Linked DNA regions of Drosophila melanogaster. The protein of the gene in region 3 interacts with the protein of the main gene of each other region in a pairwise test. Each region holds a gene or a part of one and is shown on either strand. Other genes may lie near its edges.

Evidence for each region. The genes of interacting proteins can lie anywhere in the genome.
Region 1: the proteins of CG10205 (region 3) and CG17019 interact in a two-hybrid assay, tested with the Drosophila melanogaster proteins (one large-scale study listed by BioGRID).
Region 2: the proteins of CG10205 (region 3) and Pdzd8 interact in a two-hybrid assay, tested with the Drosophila melanogaster proteins (one large-scale study listed by BioGRID).

The regions. Positions count from the first base shown.
Region 1 is NT_033778.4:12,930,396-12,935,736, reverse strand, and holds CG17019 (uncharacterized protein), read left to right. Parts: upstream 1-1,691; 5' UTR 1,692-1,998; coding exon 1,999-2,066; intron 2,067-2,138; coding exon 2,139-2,296; intron 2,297-2,374; coding exon 2,375-3,935; intron 3,936-3,995; coding exon 3,996-4,135; intron 4,136-4,194; coding exon 4,195-4,370; 3' UTR 4,371-4,825; downstream 4,826-5,341. Other genes in the region: SCCRO3 (squamous cell carcinoma-related oncogene 3), read left to right, coding at 37-174, 238-571, 628-985; sug (sugarbabe), read right to left, coding at 5,209-5,341.
Region 2 is NC_004354.4:11,925,908-11,932,790, reverse strand, and holds Pdzd8 (PDZ domain containing 8), read left to right. Parts: upstream 1-1,940; 5' UTR 1,941-2,277; coding exon 2,278-2,442; intron 2,443-2,509; coding exon 2,510-2,770; intron 2,771-2,886; coding exon 2,887-3,079; intron 3,080-3,282; coding exon 3,283-4,558; intron 4,559-4,632; coding exon 4,633-4,782; intron 4,783-4,836; coding exon 4,837-5,469; intron 5,470-5,534; coding exon 5,535-5,781; intron 5,782-5,853; coding exon 5,854-6,042; 3' UTR 6,043-6,367; downstream 6,368-6,883.
Region 3 is NT_033778.4:14,831,310-14,834,502, reverse strand, and holds CG10205 (uncharacterized protein), read right to left. Parts: upstream 1,672-3,193; 5' UTR 1,572-1,671; coding exon 1,548-1,571; intron 1,332-1,547; coding exon 681-1,331; 3' UTR 552-680; downstream 1-551.

The DNA.
Region 1 (5,341 bases), 1.9 Mb from region 3:
TAAGAAACCTCTCTTATTCCGGCTTATGCACTCTAGAAACCGATGAACTGCTCTCTAGCCGAACTCCACTCAAGCCAGCAAAAGCAAACAATTGTGATACTAAGCGTAATAGTTTTAAGTCTTTAGGTTTGCTTAATGGCAGTGCGCCCACCATGAGCGATATCATAACAACTGGTGAGTCAGCGTTCATTCGACTGCCTTGGCGGCATACTCATTCGATTTTCTATATTCTAATAGCTGTCCAGGAATCGATGGAGGTATCGCACCAAACGCTGAGCAAACTATTCGATGTGTACAAAGATCCCGACGACGAGGAGATGATACTCACGGACGGCATCGAGCGACTATGCAATGACCTCAACTATCAGCCCGATGAGTTCGCAATTCTCGTCTTGGCCTGGTGCCTGGATGCCTCGCAGATGTGCCGCTTCACCAAGGTGGAGTTCATTGAGGGTCTGCATAAGATGAGGGCGGACACAATAGACAGTATCCGGGTGCGGCTGGAGCAGACAATCGAGATGCTCAAGGCGGACGCCGAGATGTTCAAGCAGTTATACCGCTTTACATTCCGGTATGCCGTTCTTACTGCTTGGAAGATCAGTACCTAATTAGCGTCTCAAATTTCAGATTTGGTCTGGAGCCCGATCAGCGCGTCCTCTCTCTGGAGATGGCTATTGACCTGTGGAAACTTGTGTTCACTGTACAAACACCTGATCTCTTCTCCAACTGGATACACTTCCTCGAAAAGCACCCGAATATTCGCCGCATACCGAAGGATACATGGAACATGTACCTCAATTTTACGGAACAATGTGATATACAAAATTACGATGATACCGAAGCGTGGCCCAGCCTCTTCGACGACTTTGTCGACTACGAGAAAAGCCGGGCGCTGGTTTCCTCGGGCATCCACGACGATGACAACAACAACGACGATCCCCTACAGAGCCACGTGAAGGCCGAGGATCCGGGTCTTGTGTCATAGTAGCCAGTCTCCAGTCTCTTCAGGGCCAAGCAACATTCAACTCGCCAATAGAAATTAAAGAATGTACATTTTCATCTATACTGACCACTCGCTCTCTCTAGCTGCTGCTTAAGATCCCCTGTGAAAGTAGAAAACTTTAAACACCCGTGGCCACTGAAAACGAACGATGCGGTGCTGGCGCTGCTTGAGGACGGACTCTCCAACTGCCATCATTAGCCAGCTCTTATTATGGCTGGCCAACATTCTGGCCGGAGCAACAACGGACGCATTTGTTTATGTAATTAAAGACTTATCGACAAGAATTTTGGAAAAGCTCAATCATCGGAAACCACATGTGTATATAACTAATTGACTTGAAGGCGGAGCAGAAGGTAGACCGTATAATATTTAGCAATTAATTGATGTATTATTTTAAACAAAATTGCAACATTTTATGGCACTTAACTATTTAAATGCATACAATTACATACTTAACTGTAAGTAGTGGATGTGAATTAAATAAAACCAACTAAAAGATTAAACTGCTTAATTGGATTTGTTAATTATGGCATGGCGTATTTAGTTTGATATACCAGTAAATTAACTTAACATAATAGTTGCTTTAAAATGGGGGGATGTATTCAAATCAACCGCCAATTGCATGGCCTATCGATATTCATATCTGCAGATTGGACCGATAGGAATGCCTCCATGCAACCGTGAGACTAGTACATTAAATTGCTATTTTGGTTGGCCTGATAAAATTATAAAAATCATCGCAAACGCAGTCAGCTGGGTATGATTAAGTGTTGAGTGCACCTCCGCGCTCTTGAACAAATCCCCACCAGGTGGAAATGATAGCCGTGTGCAGGGCATTCTTTATCCAGTGATTCACGGCGTTGACATTGAAAAACAAACGCAATGCCAGCACAGTGGGCGTGAGCAGGCGGAAGGGGTGTAATCGCCAGGAAGGGCAAGGATTCAGTGCAAGGACACGGTCGATAGGAGCAGCTGGCCAGTGTCCAACGACCACGATGCCCTGCGAAAGTTGCGGTGTGGAATTCACGGTGTTCCGTCGCAAGCGTGCTTGCTTCGACTGCAAGTGAGTAATGGCCTGTTCATTTGGTTTTCACGGATTTCGGGGATTCATCGATATTTTGTAAACCTCCATTAGACGCTACTACTGTGCCAACTGCATTGCATCCAGGCGGTGCAAACGATGCTCTGTATTCGCTCAGCGACCACTGTCAAGGACAGATCTATTAAAGCTCAAGCCCAAGGACCTGATTTTCTATCTGCAGTCCAAACACATCTCCACTGAAGGCTGTCTAGGTGAGTTACTCATCCGGGAAGTCCCCTGGATGGGGAAACCTCTGGCAAAAACACAACTTAATACAACTTTTCCCACAGAGAAAGAGGAGCTTGTAGGACTGGTTCTCACCCATGTGGCCCAGGTTGACAGGAGCCGAGGCTCAAACGCCTCCTCCAATAGTCCGGGTCGGGGCCAGGCCAATCCCATCGACAGCCTTAAACAGTCGTGCCAAAACTTCTTCTCCAACCTAAGCGATAACATAAGTGATTCGCTAGCCTCGTTCGATTCCAAAGTTACCACAAAGCCGCCGGAGAGCAGGCAGCCCGAGGTGCCCACCCACATCTTCGAGCAGCCGCGAGTATCTACGCGTGAGATACCCACTTATGCCAGTGCCGTAAACGGCGGACCGCAACACGTGCATGTCCAACAGCAAGCCACAACCACCAATGGTGGCAGTCAAAGCAGCAGCAGTCCCTCGACTTCCACGCAGTCATCGAATAATCGCGATGCCAGTAGCAGCAGCCAGGCCCATGTGGCTCATCAGGAAGCGAGAAATGAAGAGCAGGAAGACGCGCAAAGCAAGTCCGACTGCGAGTGCTCAGACGAAGAGATTATGGCCACGTTCAGTGAGCGTGTTTCGATTTCACTCAAAACCGATACCAGTGGCCGGAGGGTCAATGCTGCGGCAGAGCCCAGTCCTGTTGATCTGGCGAACGTAGATAATGGACCTGCAGGGAACACAGCACCTAGTCCAGGCTGCTCCAAGCCGGGGTCAAGCAGCTCCAAGGCAGATGCCTCCTCGCAGTCAAGTTTTGAGGAGCTGGGCGCCATTGGTGGCATCTCAGACGAGAGCAAGGCCAACACGGACACCAACAGCAGTCACCTGGATCAGTGGCAGGTGCTGGAGGTAAACCGGATCGAAGCTGTAGAAGAGACGCCGACCACGAGTGCCGCCGATGAGATATTAGAGGTGACATTGCGCAGCAGGCCGGCGGTCGAGGGTGATGATAGTGAGATGGGCGAAAGTACTCAGGCACTTAACGTAAATCAGCGCCCGGCCAACCCAAGTCCGGCGTTCTATCCCGCCGTACCGCAGCGCACAAAGAAAGTGACTCGAAGACGATCCGATGGTTACTTGAATCGCCGCTACCATTCCAGCGATGACGAGTCGCCTGTGGCGCCAGGTGGACCTGGCCTAAGCCTGGGACTTTCCACGCTGAGTGAACACCCAGAGCACGGCTTGCATCCGCACTCCCATCGCCAGAGCTGCCAGCGCTGCGGTAAGAATAAGACAAACATTCGTCGACATGTTGAGAAAATGCGACGCCATCTGGAGAACTCGCAAATGTCCGAGGAGGACATCAAACGGGAGCTCCAGGAGTTTCTCACGTACCTGGAGCAGCGAACCAAGTCGGTGGATGCCTCCGATGCGGACAGCCACGCGGTGTCGCCACTCAGCGTGGATGCTATCAGTGTGGCTGCTGGTGGAAGATCACCGGACATGCCCATCACGCCAACAATTGAGTTCTCGCCAACGCAGGACGAAGATATCCGCTGGGACGATGACGAGGGCATCCATGTATACGCCGCTCCATCGGACTTCGAACCGACAGCCGGCATTGACTCACGATTTGTCAATTTGGAAGACTTTGAGGATTTGTAAATGCTCTATTCTCTAGAATGTTCATGATCGATTAATGCCTCTCTATTGATTTATAGAAAAGACTTGGAGGGTTTGACAGTGAAGCAGTTGAAGGAGGTGCTGATGCTGCACCGCGTCGACTACAAAGGATGTTGCGAGAAGCAGGAGCTTCTCGACCGCGTCAGCAGACTGTGGAAAACCATGCGCGAGTGTCCAGGTGAGCTTTGGACTTTGCACTACAATTTCACCCTCATAACGATTCAACCATTTACGCAGCTGTTGAAAAACTCGCCACTGATGAGCTGTGCAAGATCTGCATGGATGCGCCGATTGAGTGCGTTTTTCTAGAGTGCGGACACATGGCCACCTGCACGAGCTGTGGAAAAGTGTTGAACGAGTGCCCAATTTGCCGACAATATATTGTACGAGTTGTAAGATTTTTTAGAGCGTAATGATACGGCTAATCTTACGGTAACTGGACATAGTGTAATGATGGAAGCCGATAGCCGCCACAAGCTACATACAGATACAGATCCAGCCCAGCTGTACAAGTTGTACAGCAGATCCTGATGATGCGACTACAACGTATATGTTTCCTTAAATGACGCGAGTGCAACAATAATATTAATTTGATTATTTGGTTCTTCTCTGTAGTATGTTGCCAGTATATATATATGCCTATATATAGTGTAAAACCTGATATCGCTTTTAAAGTGTATTCATCTATTTCAAATGTGAAATACTTTTGCTATTTATTTTGTTTGTTCTTGTTGTTTGTATAAAAACGAGAGGTTATCTAGATCAACTAACATTCCTATAAACCGCAAAAAAAAACATTAAATCTGTTATTAACAGTTGTGTGAAAAACTCGTCTAGATGCGCATTTAAACAATAAATATTTTCCAATATCTAGCGCTCTATTAGCCCAGCCATTCGAAATGGGGATTTTCCTCCAAACAAAGGTTGTCTGGATCATAAATTCTAATCGAAGTCGATTAAGATTGGTCACTAGTTTTGTGACGAATCGCCTGTAACTGGGGATTTTCCCATACCTTGAGCTTATGGTTTTTCGAAATCTTTGAAATACTCTTTTTGCCCAGAACCACTATGAAGGAACCTAGATCAGATCAATCCCGAAGATACTCCCATGCCACCATGCCAAACTAGAGCAGTTCAATTACAACAGTCTTTAATCACGTTAAATAGTAATCTAGGTGTGGTGACAAGAGCTGGGAAACAGCGCAATGACTAGAAGGGGAAGAGAGACGAGAGGCGAACCGATTGGCCAGTTCAGATTCGATGGATGCGCAGGTCGAGCGGTGACTCCACGTCCATCTTAACGAAGAAGTCCTCGCTGTGGAGATAGCTATGCTGTCTATCGCCTAGCCAATAGCTGGGCGAGAATTCCGCATCCTGTTTGGGT
Region 2 (6,883 bases), on a different chromosome or scaffold from region 3:
CACAAAACAGTAGAGTTCTTGGAAGGGCAGCTTAGGGCTCATTAGCTCAATTACTACTACTGAATCATTGCCCCGATGCCAAAACTAAACAAAATATAGATAAATGATACAAAAAAAAAAAAAAAACACCAAAGAAAATAAATAAAAAAAAATACAAGAAAAAACAAAACCAAAAAACAGAAAAAAAAATAGAAATGAGTACAAAGTATGAAGTTAGTTCACTGATATGAATTCAGTATTCAGTATCGCTTATCCAGTTCATGATGCCTATAGAGGAAATATTTAGTTAGCTAAAATATTGGCAAGCTCGTGACCATTTCAACTCGATTCCATTCGATTCGCTTCTAATGCTCACAATCTTCGCTTCGTCCTTCGAAAAAAAAAGGCTCCCAGCTGGCCGACCGCGAACTCTGCCCAACTTTATGTACTCCTACTTGTATGGTTAGGTGCCAAGTGCAGGGATCCGATACACGAAACATCACATATTTCCGGGGAAGAACAATTCGGGCACCATGTCCCGCCATTTACTTACAAAATTAAAACCAAAATATATATTGTTACACAATGCTGCGATCGATTGTTCTTCCAGCTACAGATCCTTGCATTCCCCCGCCACATGGAGATGCCATGGAAAGCATTGCCCGATCCAGATTAAGATCCAGATTCAGAGTCATTATACATATGCATGCAACCATGATGAAGTGCGCACACAAGGCTGCTGCCGAGCCAATCCTCAATTCGAAAAAATTCAAAATTGAATTCAAATCCAAAAATTGAGGTGACCCAAACGGTCCGCGCTCCTGTGTTGTTAAACTTAACTCATGTCGTAGGTGGCTTACTTCTGTCTGAAATGGCAAACATTTAACCATTGAACCCTAACTTAACGATTCGACTGTATATTTTGTGATTTGTTTACTGTCTGGTGTGAGCGGTTACATGAAACAAAAAAAAAAAAAAAACAATAAAGAAGAAAACTTAACAAAAAATAAGAACGGAAACAAGCAAAAATAAAAAGGAAATACATATATGTAAGTAGATCTGACTTTTTTTTACAAAGCAACAAGAAATATAAAATATAGGATGTGAGAGGGGATGATACGCGAATAGGAAAGGAAACAAAATTAATAATAATGAAATTAGTTTAAAATTAGAAGAATGTAACTGTTACGGCTAAATTGTAATGATAATACATATACATAAATATATGAGAGAAACCATAAATATAAATATAAATATCTTAATTTAATATACTAAGTGAATAAAGCAGTTAAATTAATTACTAAGATACGCTAGAGATAATTAAACTACATTTAATAATTATGTAATTATAAAGATGACTCGTAATTTATATACAAGATATACATACATAAACATATAATAACATAAATACCTGCCTTCAACAAATTTGTTAATAAAACTATTAATACTTTCTTATTTTACATAATGTAAAGGAATACCATAATAAAAACAAAAAAAAAACAAGAAGAAAATAAATGTCAAAAAAATAACACAAAAATTGCACATCTTGTGTTTTTTACTTGCGCATTGAGTAGATTTTTATACCTTTTCAATATATGCCCAACTATTTTAGTTTATAAATGGAACAAATGAATGAGCCCATGGAAAGCCCACCAAAGGATCCCAGCATCCTTAAGGATTTGAAGAGCCTGCACCGCCTCTCGAAATTATCTAGCTCAAAGCAATTGAAACTTCCTGCCATCAGGAATTCCTAGGGTGCACCCGGGTGCACCGTTCCGAACAGCTGTTCCAAGTGGTCCGGCTGATGACTGGTCTCCGGATTGCATTGGCTGCGAATCAACCCCCAGGAAGGTTGCCAGCTGATCCGGGCGCAGGCGCACTGCGAAGTGGCCACGGCACAAAAAAAAAAAGGCGCTGCCAGTGCTGCGGATATACATATTGATTTTATGTCGCCTATTCATCAGTTGTAACAATTGTAAGATTACAGCTACCGATAGCTGGGAACAGCCTCAAATTGGCGAAATCGGCTAGGGTATCAGCCAAATGGATGGGTCAAGAGCTCCGATTCGGATGCATCCAAACTCCGTGTGAACGGCGAACGAACTACTGGCCGAGGGTGATACAATGCGAGCACATCCAGAACGTAATTGAAAAGACTGACATCAGATATACTGTGACCAGTGGAGCTTTGGACTCCGCAGCTGGTCCCATCGTAGCCTCGCAGCTCCTCCAGCAAATACGATCCGGAGGAATAGACAGTATTTTCGAGTGAGATTGGGAATTTAAGGCATCGCCAGCATGGAGATACCCATTTCAAACATTCTGCTGCTCTGCCTGATCTTTCTGTTGATCGGCGGAGTGGTGATGATCCTGCTGCAGTATCTCATCTTCATCAAGTTCTCGAATCTGCCCGACGAAAGCGAGGAGCAGAAGCAGGCGAATGCCAAATACACCCTGCCATTGGTAAGTAGCTGGAGTAAATTCCCTTGTTCAATTGACAATTTCCAACTTGGTTTCACCACAATCGCAGAACATCAAGCAGACGGCCAGGAACCTGAAGAGGCTATCCAATTCCGGACTGGGTGGTGGCGCTGGGAATGGATGCGAGAACCATCAGGAGAGCCTCCGACGGGCCTCCGCCCTGGTCTCCCTCAACTTTGTCATGCAGTTTCTCTTCCACGAGTTCAAGAACTCCAATCGGGTGCGGAAATGGTTCTATCGCAAGCTGTCCATCGAGCTGGACGAACTGATTTCCAAGACTACCACCGGAAAACTGCTGGACAAGCTAACGGTGAGAAGTAGATTTTTTTTTGTTTTGATTAAAATAAAAGGGTTAGAGTGATATTATACTCTTTTATTAGTTTCAAAGTTAATTGGTGTACTAACAAATCATCTATTTTATTTTAGATTAAAGAGCTCGAGTTGGGCGACCAGTTTCCGGACGTCAAGTCGCTATCGGTGCACAACGTGGAATTGGACAAGGATGAGCAGCGCATCGAGAATCTCGACCTTCTGCTGGACATCAACTACGTTGGCAATTTCACAACTTCCATTGACGCGGACATGGTGCTGGGCAAGAAGGGATCGATAACGCTTAGGGGTGAGTGAGTTGGCGACAGGGAATGGGTTTTAATTGTTCCTACCACCAGCCTTGCACGAATCTGAAAAAGCCATTGGAAATGAAACAAATTCATGGGTTTTTTCTGTATTTAAAAATATTTAAATATTTAATGATGTTCTTATATATATGTACATATATATTTTACTTATCCCTACTATTTAAATTTACATCTTTTATTGCAGTCAAACAGCTTTCGGGAATGGCGCGCCTGCAGTTCACGAGAAAGCCCTACACGCACTGGTCAATTAGTTTCCTGGGCGATCCGGAGCTGATCCTGGACATCGAGTCGAAGTACCAGGGCCGCCAGATGCAGTCGAACATAACCAACCTGATCTCAAACCAGATCCGAAAGGCGGTTCGCCGGAAACACACGTTGCCCAACTACAAGCTGCGCTACAAGCCCTTCTTCCACTGGACGGCGGAGGAGGACGCGAGCGACTGTGACATTCAACCGAATGGCCTGCTCACCGTCAAGCTGGCGGAGCTGTCCCGGTTGATGGGCTATCCGGGCGCCAGTGAGACGTACTGCACCATCACGCTGGCGCCGGTGCCGTTTATCGAGGCCAGTCAGCGGGATAGCCGGAATGTGCTCATCTCGTTGGACGTGTTCATTCACAAGGCGAAGAACCAGCAGATTGGAATCGTCTTCAAGCAGAGCGGCAGCCAGGTGGTGCGAATCGAGTCCGTGCTCCCGAATACACCGGCCTGCAAGTCCAACCTGCTGGCCGGCGACGTTCTGGTGGCCATCGAAGGCAGGCCGGTGACCACCATTCAGCAGATCGCCAAGGTGGTCAAGACGCTGCAGGCCACTGTCTTTAGTCTGCGCATTGAGCGCATTATTCCTGGAATTATTCGCAACGATGCCATACTGGAGGACTTCGAAAAGTACGAGGATATCGGCGATTTGCCAAGTTCGTATCCCTGCCAACCGAAGTTGGAAACGGATGAGGCTGCAACCGCTGATCCGACACCCAAGCACCTGGTGGTGAAGCCCAGTTTGAGCGGAACACCAACCAATTCCCCCAAGAAGTCCAACCTCATTGCCAAGGCTATCAAGAAGACAATGAGTCGAGAGAGTGGGGATAAGGATCGGGACAAGGATAAGGATAAGGACAAAGATAAAGATAAAGACAAGGACAAAGATAAGGACAAGGATAAGGACAAGGATAAGGACAAAGGCAAGGAGGAGGTGGAGGAGCCGGTCAACTACTTCTATCAGCACTCCACCATCGACTGTCCATTTAGTCCACTTATCCACATGGAAGACGTGTGCAGCTTCCAGTTGGACAATTCCAGTCGCTTCCTCAACGTCTGCGTCTTTGGCAAATCCGCCGGCGAGAGTGTGCTTCTGGGTTATAACAATGTCCAGATCGGTCAGATTCTCGTCGAGTGCTCCGAAACCAGTTTGAACCAGTGCCTCAAGCAGATCAGTCTCAATCCGGCATCACTGCAGGCTGTGTAAGTTGGCCAGTAACCACCAGTGGAAACTCCAGAATGCACAATTGTTTTGATATATATTTACTGATCCCCAGAAAGACGCATCCGCTGTCCAATCAGTCCGGCTTCAATCCGAACCTCTGCTTTGGCGACATTCTGTTTGGCTTCTCCTGGATGGGCAATCCCAATTTGACGGTGGGTGATGTTCCCATCAAAAGCACATCCAAGTCCCAGTCTCCGGCCAGGTAAGCTTCAAGTTACGGATTAAAAGACTAAACTAATTCTTATGCTCCCAACAGAAATCCCTTAGCTGGCGACCGAGTAGCTTCAGAAGATCAGTCGCAGTTCCTCAAGCTGACGAGCTCTATGGCAGACAGCTCCACATCTGGCGAATCCTCTAGTGGCACCACTGCCGCTCCAAGGGCACACGACTTTGTGAGGACCCACTTCCATCGGGCAACACAGTGCGACTTCTGCGGCAAGAAAATTTGGTTGAAGGACGCCATGCAGTGCCAGGAGTGCTCCATGTGCTGCCACAAAAAGTGCATAGTCAAGTGCCAGATGGCCACCGTCTGCGGTCCGGTTGACTGTACCGGCTCCATACCGGCAACCTCCTCCACTCCTTCAATGGCCAGCCGACCGGAGTTCACCATCACACAGGCCGACAATCCACAGATCGTTGATTCCAGCACGGGTGCGACTCCGTTTGATGAGACGTCTGCTGCATCTGGCGGAGATCAGGGGCAAATTCAATCGCCAACGGCCTCTGGCTTGGATGTCCATCGATCCAGCCTCACCGGGATGCTGGCCCAGGGCATCAAGCGGCAGGCGAGCAACTTGGACATTCCCGGCATCGTATCCTCGCTAACTGGCAGTGGTCAGCAGGTGAACTCCAAGAGCCTGCCTCCCAGTCCACAGCACACGCCATCGCGGTAAGTTCGCATGCAGAACCAATTAATATGGGTGCCTTTTTTATACCATATTTGAATACTGACAGAAAATCGTCGATTGTGGAAGAGGCGACTCCTGCTCTGCAGCAGAATCCTTTCGAGAGCGTCACCCAGCACCTGGAGGCCCTGCCCTTGGACTGTCCGGAGCTCAGCTTCGAGCAGGTGATCGTCATCACGGAGCCCATCATTCGTCACACCCGCAACGAGGATCTGATGAATCTGGCCAAGAGCACCAGCAAACTCCTATACGCTGCCCTGCCGCCCGATGAGCGTGTGGCCAAGATAAACGAGTTGGTAAGTCTGCATGGCTTCTGGATAGATATATGTATATATATATATATGTATAATGATCCTATCAATGTTTAGTTAACGAAACTGAAAGTAGCCCTGGATGCGGAGACCGAGGGCTATACGCTGATGAACGATGCGGAGAAGGCCACCGAATCCTCGCCCTGGAAATCGGACAGATCGGATGAGCGTGTCCAGGCGCTCAGCATCATCATGCTGTACTTGTGCACGGGTCTGCAACATGCCCAGGGTGTGGTGCTGCAGTAGATGATGCTGCAATCCTGGGATCATGGGCTACATGTCAATGGTTAAATACTTGTGTATTCGCGTGAACTCGTACATAATCTTAAGTAGTAGACTGGAAATGTGTTAGTGAACTAATGGGCATTTTTAATTCGTGTTGTGGCATACTTAACTAGAAGTATTGTATTTCAATTTTAGCCATTCGTTTCGATCAAAATACGCTTATTTGTCAGTTTTGAAACCGATTTGTACATACATAATATGGGATTAACCCAAACTTAATGGATATATCAATGGCATCCATAGAGTTCCAACTTGTTTTGGCAAATAAACATTTTTAACCAAGTTCTATCACATTTCGTATGATATTCATCTAATATTTTATAGCAAAATGTTTGTATATCGGTATGTAATAGAGAACGTAAAGAGCGTGTGTGCAAATTAAATTAAATATTTTTGACGTTGATTTTAATATTTTGGCATTGGTTTTCTCTACATGCAAACTATGCCTCCTAGCATACTGCATTCTGCATATAAGTATGAGATACGTGAACGTGGAAATGTCAAGTTCAAAATGGCATGTTTTTACTACCAAGTGATCTAATGAGACTACAGACAATTCCGGAACAGAGAAAAATCATATGACGGATGCGTAGGAGATCGGTTCTATATGTACGATTTATATACGACGCACTTTCTCCATTTATATTGAACTTTTACACTTTTCCGCGGCAGCAGCAATGAGTGTTTATATCAGGGGCTATTGCTCTTAAGATGACAAGATACTTTGTTCTTGATGCAGCAATACTCATCTAAAGGATAGGAAATTTCAGAAATGACCATCTTTTAGATTAGATACAAAAAT
Region 3 (3,193 bases):
ATTGGTAGAATAGGAATTCAAGGTTTTATAGTATCGAACTGTGAAGCTAATGCATAGTAGAAGTGTTAAGAACTTAAGAAAGATTCCTATGCATGTTTTTGAAAAGATATCATATTCTATAAATGGGCGGGAGAAAGTTCTTTAGTTTGGCGAAGAAAGCAGGAGAAGAATCACGCTATGAAAAGGTAACCAGCAGAGAAACAAAGGCAAACGACACTTGAAAAGATATTCGCAAGAAAGCCGCGAAAGGGGGAATGCCATAAATCAAATGTATCTACGTATCTGCGTATCTTGTATCCATTGTGGCTGTATGTATGTAAATGCCAGACAATAGTTATGGCTATGCTGGGCTTAATTATACGCGGCACTCGATTCGATTCGCTGGAAAATTAGCATATGACAAGGCCAGTTAACAGCTAGCAAAACAGTTAGCTAAACTCCGCGGATGGAGTCACAGATGAAGATAGATGCCCATGTAATTACCGGAGCAGAAAAAACCAAACAATTAAGATAAAGAATTTTTAAACTATGACTCAAACGGATTCACCATTGTTTCATTAGCTAATTTTAGACATGGGTTTATTGCGGCAATAAGCATTTATAATATTATAGTTACGACTACGTTTAGGGGCTAATAATTTAGACTTTAACTTTGACTTAGAGAAGATGGAGCGGGTAGATCACAAGATCACCTCGAATCGCTGATCCCGGCCAATGGGCTCCGCTTTGCTCTTCACCAGATATTTGGCGAACTCCGCGGGCGACTGGAACGACTTGATGGGGAACTTGCCGAAGCGTCCGTTGGTCTTGGACACCACATAGTAGATGGGATAGGGGCCCGGCGTCATCTGGACGGGTAATACTTGACCTCCGACCTCCACCTGCTTCAACTGCTCCACCTGCCGCCCCGCGGACAACTCTCCAGCCCCCCTAGCGTCCAAGTTCAGTTGCTTCTGCTGCTTGAGTTTCTGCTTGGGAAAGGCTTTTAGTTCGTATTTCAAGGCTGGCTGCGTCGCATCTTCACCACTGGCGGCCACATTTCCACCCAGCAGCTTGGCGGGACGAGGGCGCCTCTTTCGCATCTGCTTGGAGTCCACGTACTGCCGCTGACTGGATCCGAATGCCGTTGACGGACGCAGTGTTTGCACCTGGATGAAGGGCGAGTTCATTTGGCTGCCGGTGGTGTCTTTCTTGGGCGGTAGGTCCTGCGGATGCACGCGGATCACCTTCTGCGTTTGGTTGGCTATGCTGATCACATCCTCCTCAATGTCCGTGGACTCTTCGATGGCGAGGGATGCCCAGGTCAGTGCACCCAAGCAGAAGCAGAAGAGCTAAATGGAGTTAAATCAAATGAATTAAACTATGTCAGACTTTGGAGTATTTGAACTTAAGCCACAAGTTTTTATAAACTGTTCTTGACCAGCTGTTGACTTCGACATCTTTAACTATCAACAAAGTCGAAATGATTCAACTTCAGCTGGCAAATTATTCTATAATCGAACTTAAGTACTTATTTTTTAGTGCCGTGGGCGATCAATCACAATTACCATTAGCCGATGATTGGCGAACATCTTGTAAGATCAGCCAGGTAACAATGTATCCGCGGATTCTGAGGCTTCTGTGGCTTCCGCAACTAGCGACTGATGTTGGATGCTGTCGTTTGACGACTGAAAAACACTGGAGACCAGCGATCGCTGTAAGCTTTTGAGCTGGAGATCCCAGATATGTATGCCCCCCATTGCCCCCCGAACACGATCTGTTTATAATGAAGTGTTGGTTTTTTTTTTTGTTTTGTGGCTCGCGCATTTGGTAGGAGCCAGAGAACATATAATGAGCCGAAAATTTGTTAGTTTTGTTGCGTCTTTTGTCATTTGGAGAACCCTCCATCCCGTAAGTTCCCCAAATTAAACGCGCACAGTGGGTCGGAGTATGGCAAAAACTGGTAATCATTTGTTTGGTTAATTTGCGTTGGTTGTCGCCGATTGCCTCGCTGATTAATTTGTTTTGCGTCTGATCACCTCGGATCCCACATTTCCCCCTTCTCACTACAATGATTGTATTGTGGATTGTTTGATTTCAAGATATTTTTATCCGTTGGTGAAGTACAAATTTGTGCTTAGCAAGATATATCAATTTCGCTTAGATACATACAATTCTTTAGGTATATATTTTTAACTACATATAAATATGAAATGATTTACATAAACTTATAAATTAATCAAATCATAAACATTCATCAAGTATGCTATTTATAAACTATTCAAATTAGGTCTTTGAAATATTTTCCCACTTCTTTAAAGTATTTAAACTCGTATTTCCTTTTTCGGCAGAGTATTCCACAGTCGGAAAACAGCTTGATCATTTGTTCCACAGATCATTAGGCGTGCATTACTAATTATTGTAATGAAATTATTTATGATAATTGTCAGAGTCTCAGACACTGCACATTGTTGATCATTCGGCGTGTGCACAAAACGATTGAGCAGAAATAAAAATCAAATAAAGTTTGCCAGCGAAAACAATTATAATTCAATTGTATTCAGATGGGAGATATAGAAGTCATGAAGCCGATGACTCAATGTTGTTCTGTTCCTAGTTGAGCTTTCTGGTTTCTAATCTTGGAACTTGACAAGCAACCTAAGATGGGATTTGAGAGCAGGGAGCAGTTCAGCGTAATGGAATTAGAGATCTTGAACTTAATGCTCCGAACAAGGTTAGCTTTTTATGCGGATTGTAATCTTATAATTAAAGTTTTAAAGCGTCAGCGAACTCTTATTTTAGCGTATTTACAAACTTTAAACAAGTTCATAACTTGTTGATTGTGTCACCTCATTAATATGCACATCGAATTCATTGACCCAGTCTGCTTCGATTCGATTGAATAACTTCACTAATCAACTTAGAACAAACCATCATCGATCGATGATGATTATGTTAATGATATGACGGCTAAAAGGGGTCAGCGATTTGTATTGCCAAAATCTGTTGGTGATCTGCTGGCATCCATATTACCATCGTAAAAATTCACTTTGCCATCGATAGTCGAAATGACAAAAACCATTTATAGCTTTCGAACATCAGAGGCGGAGGGGGGAAAAAAAAGAAATAGAATGTAACCAGGGAAATGCAGCCACTCCAGACGGTAATAAAATGCCCAAGGAGCAGGCACCAGGATCCAGACAATGGAATCCAT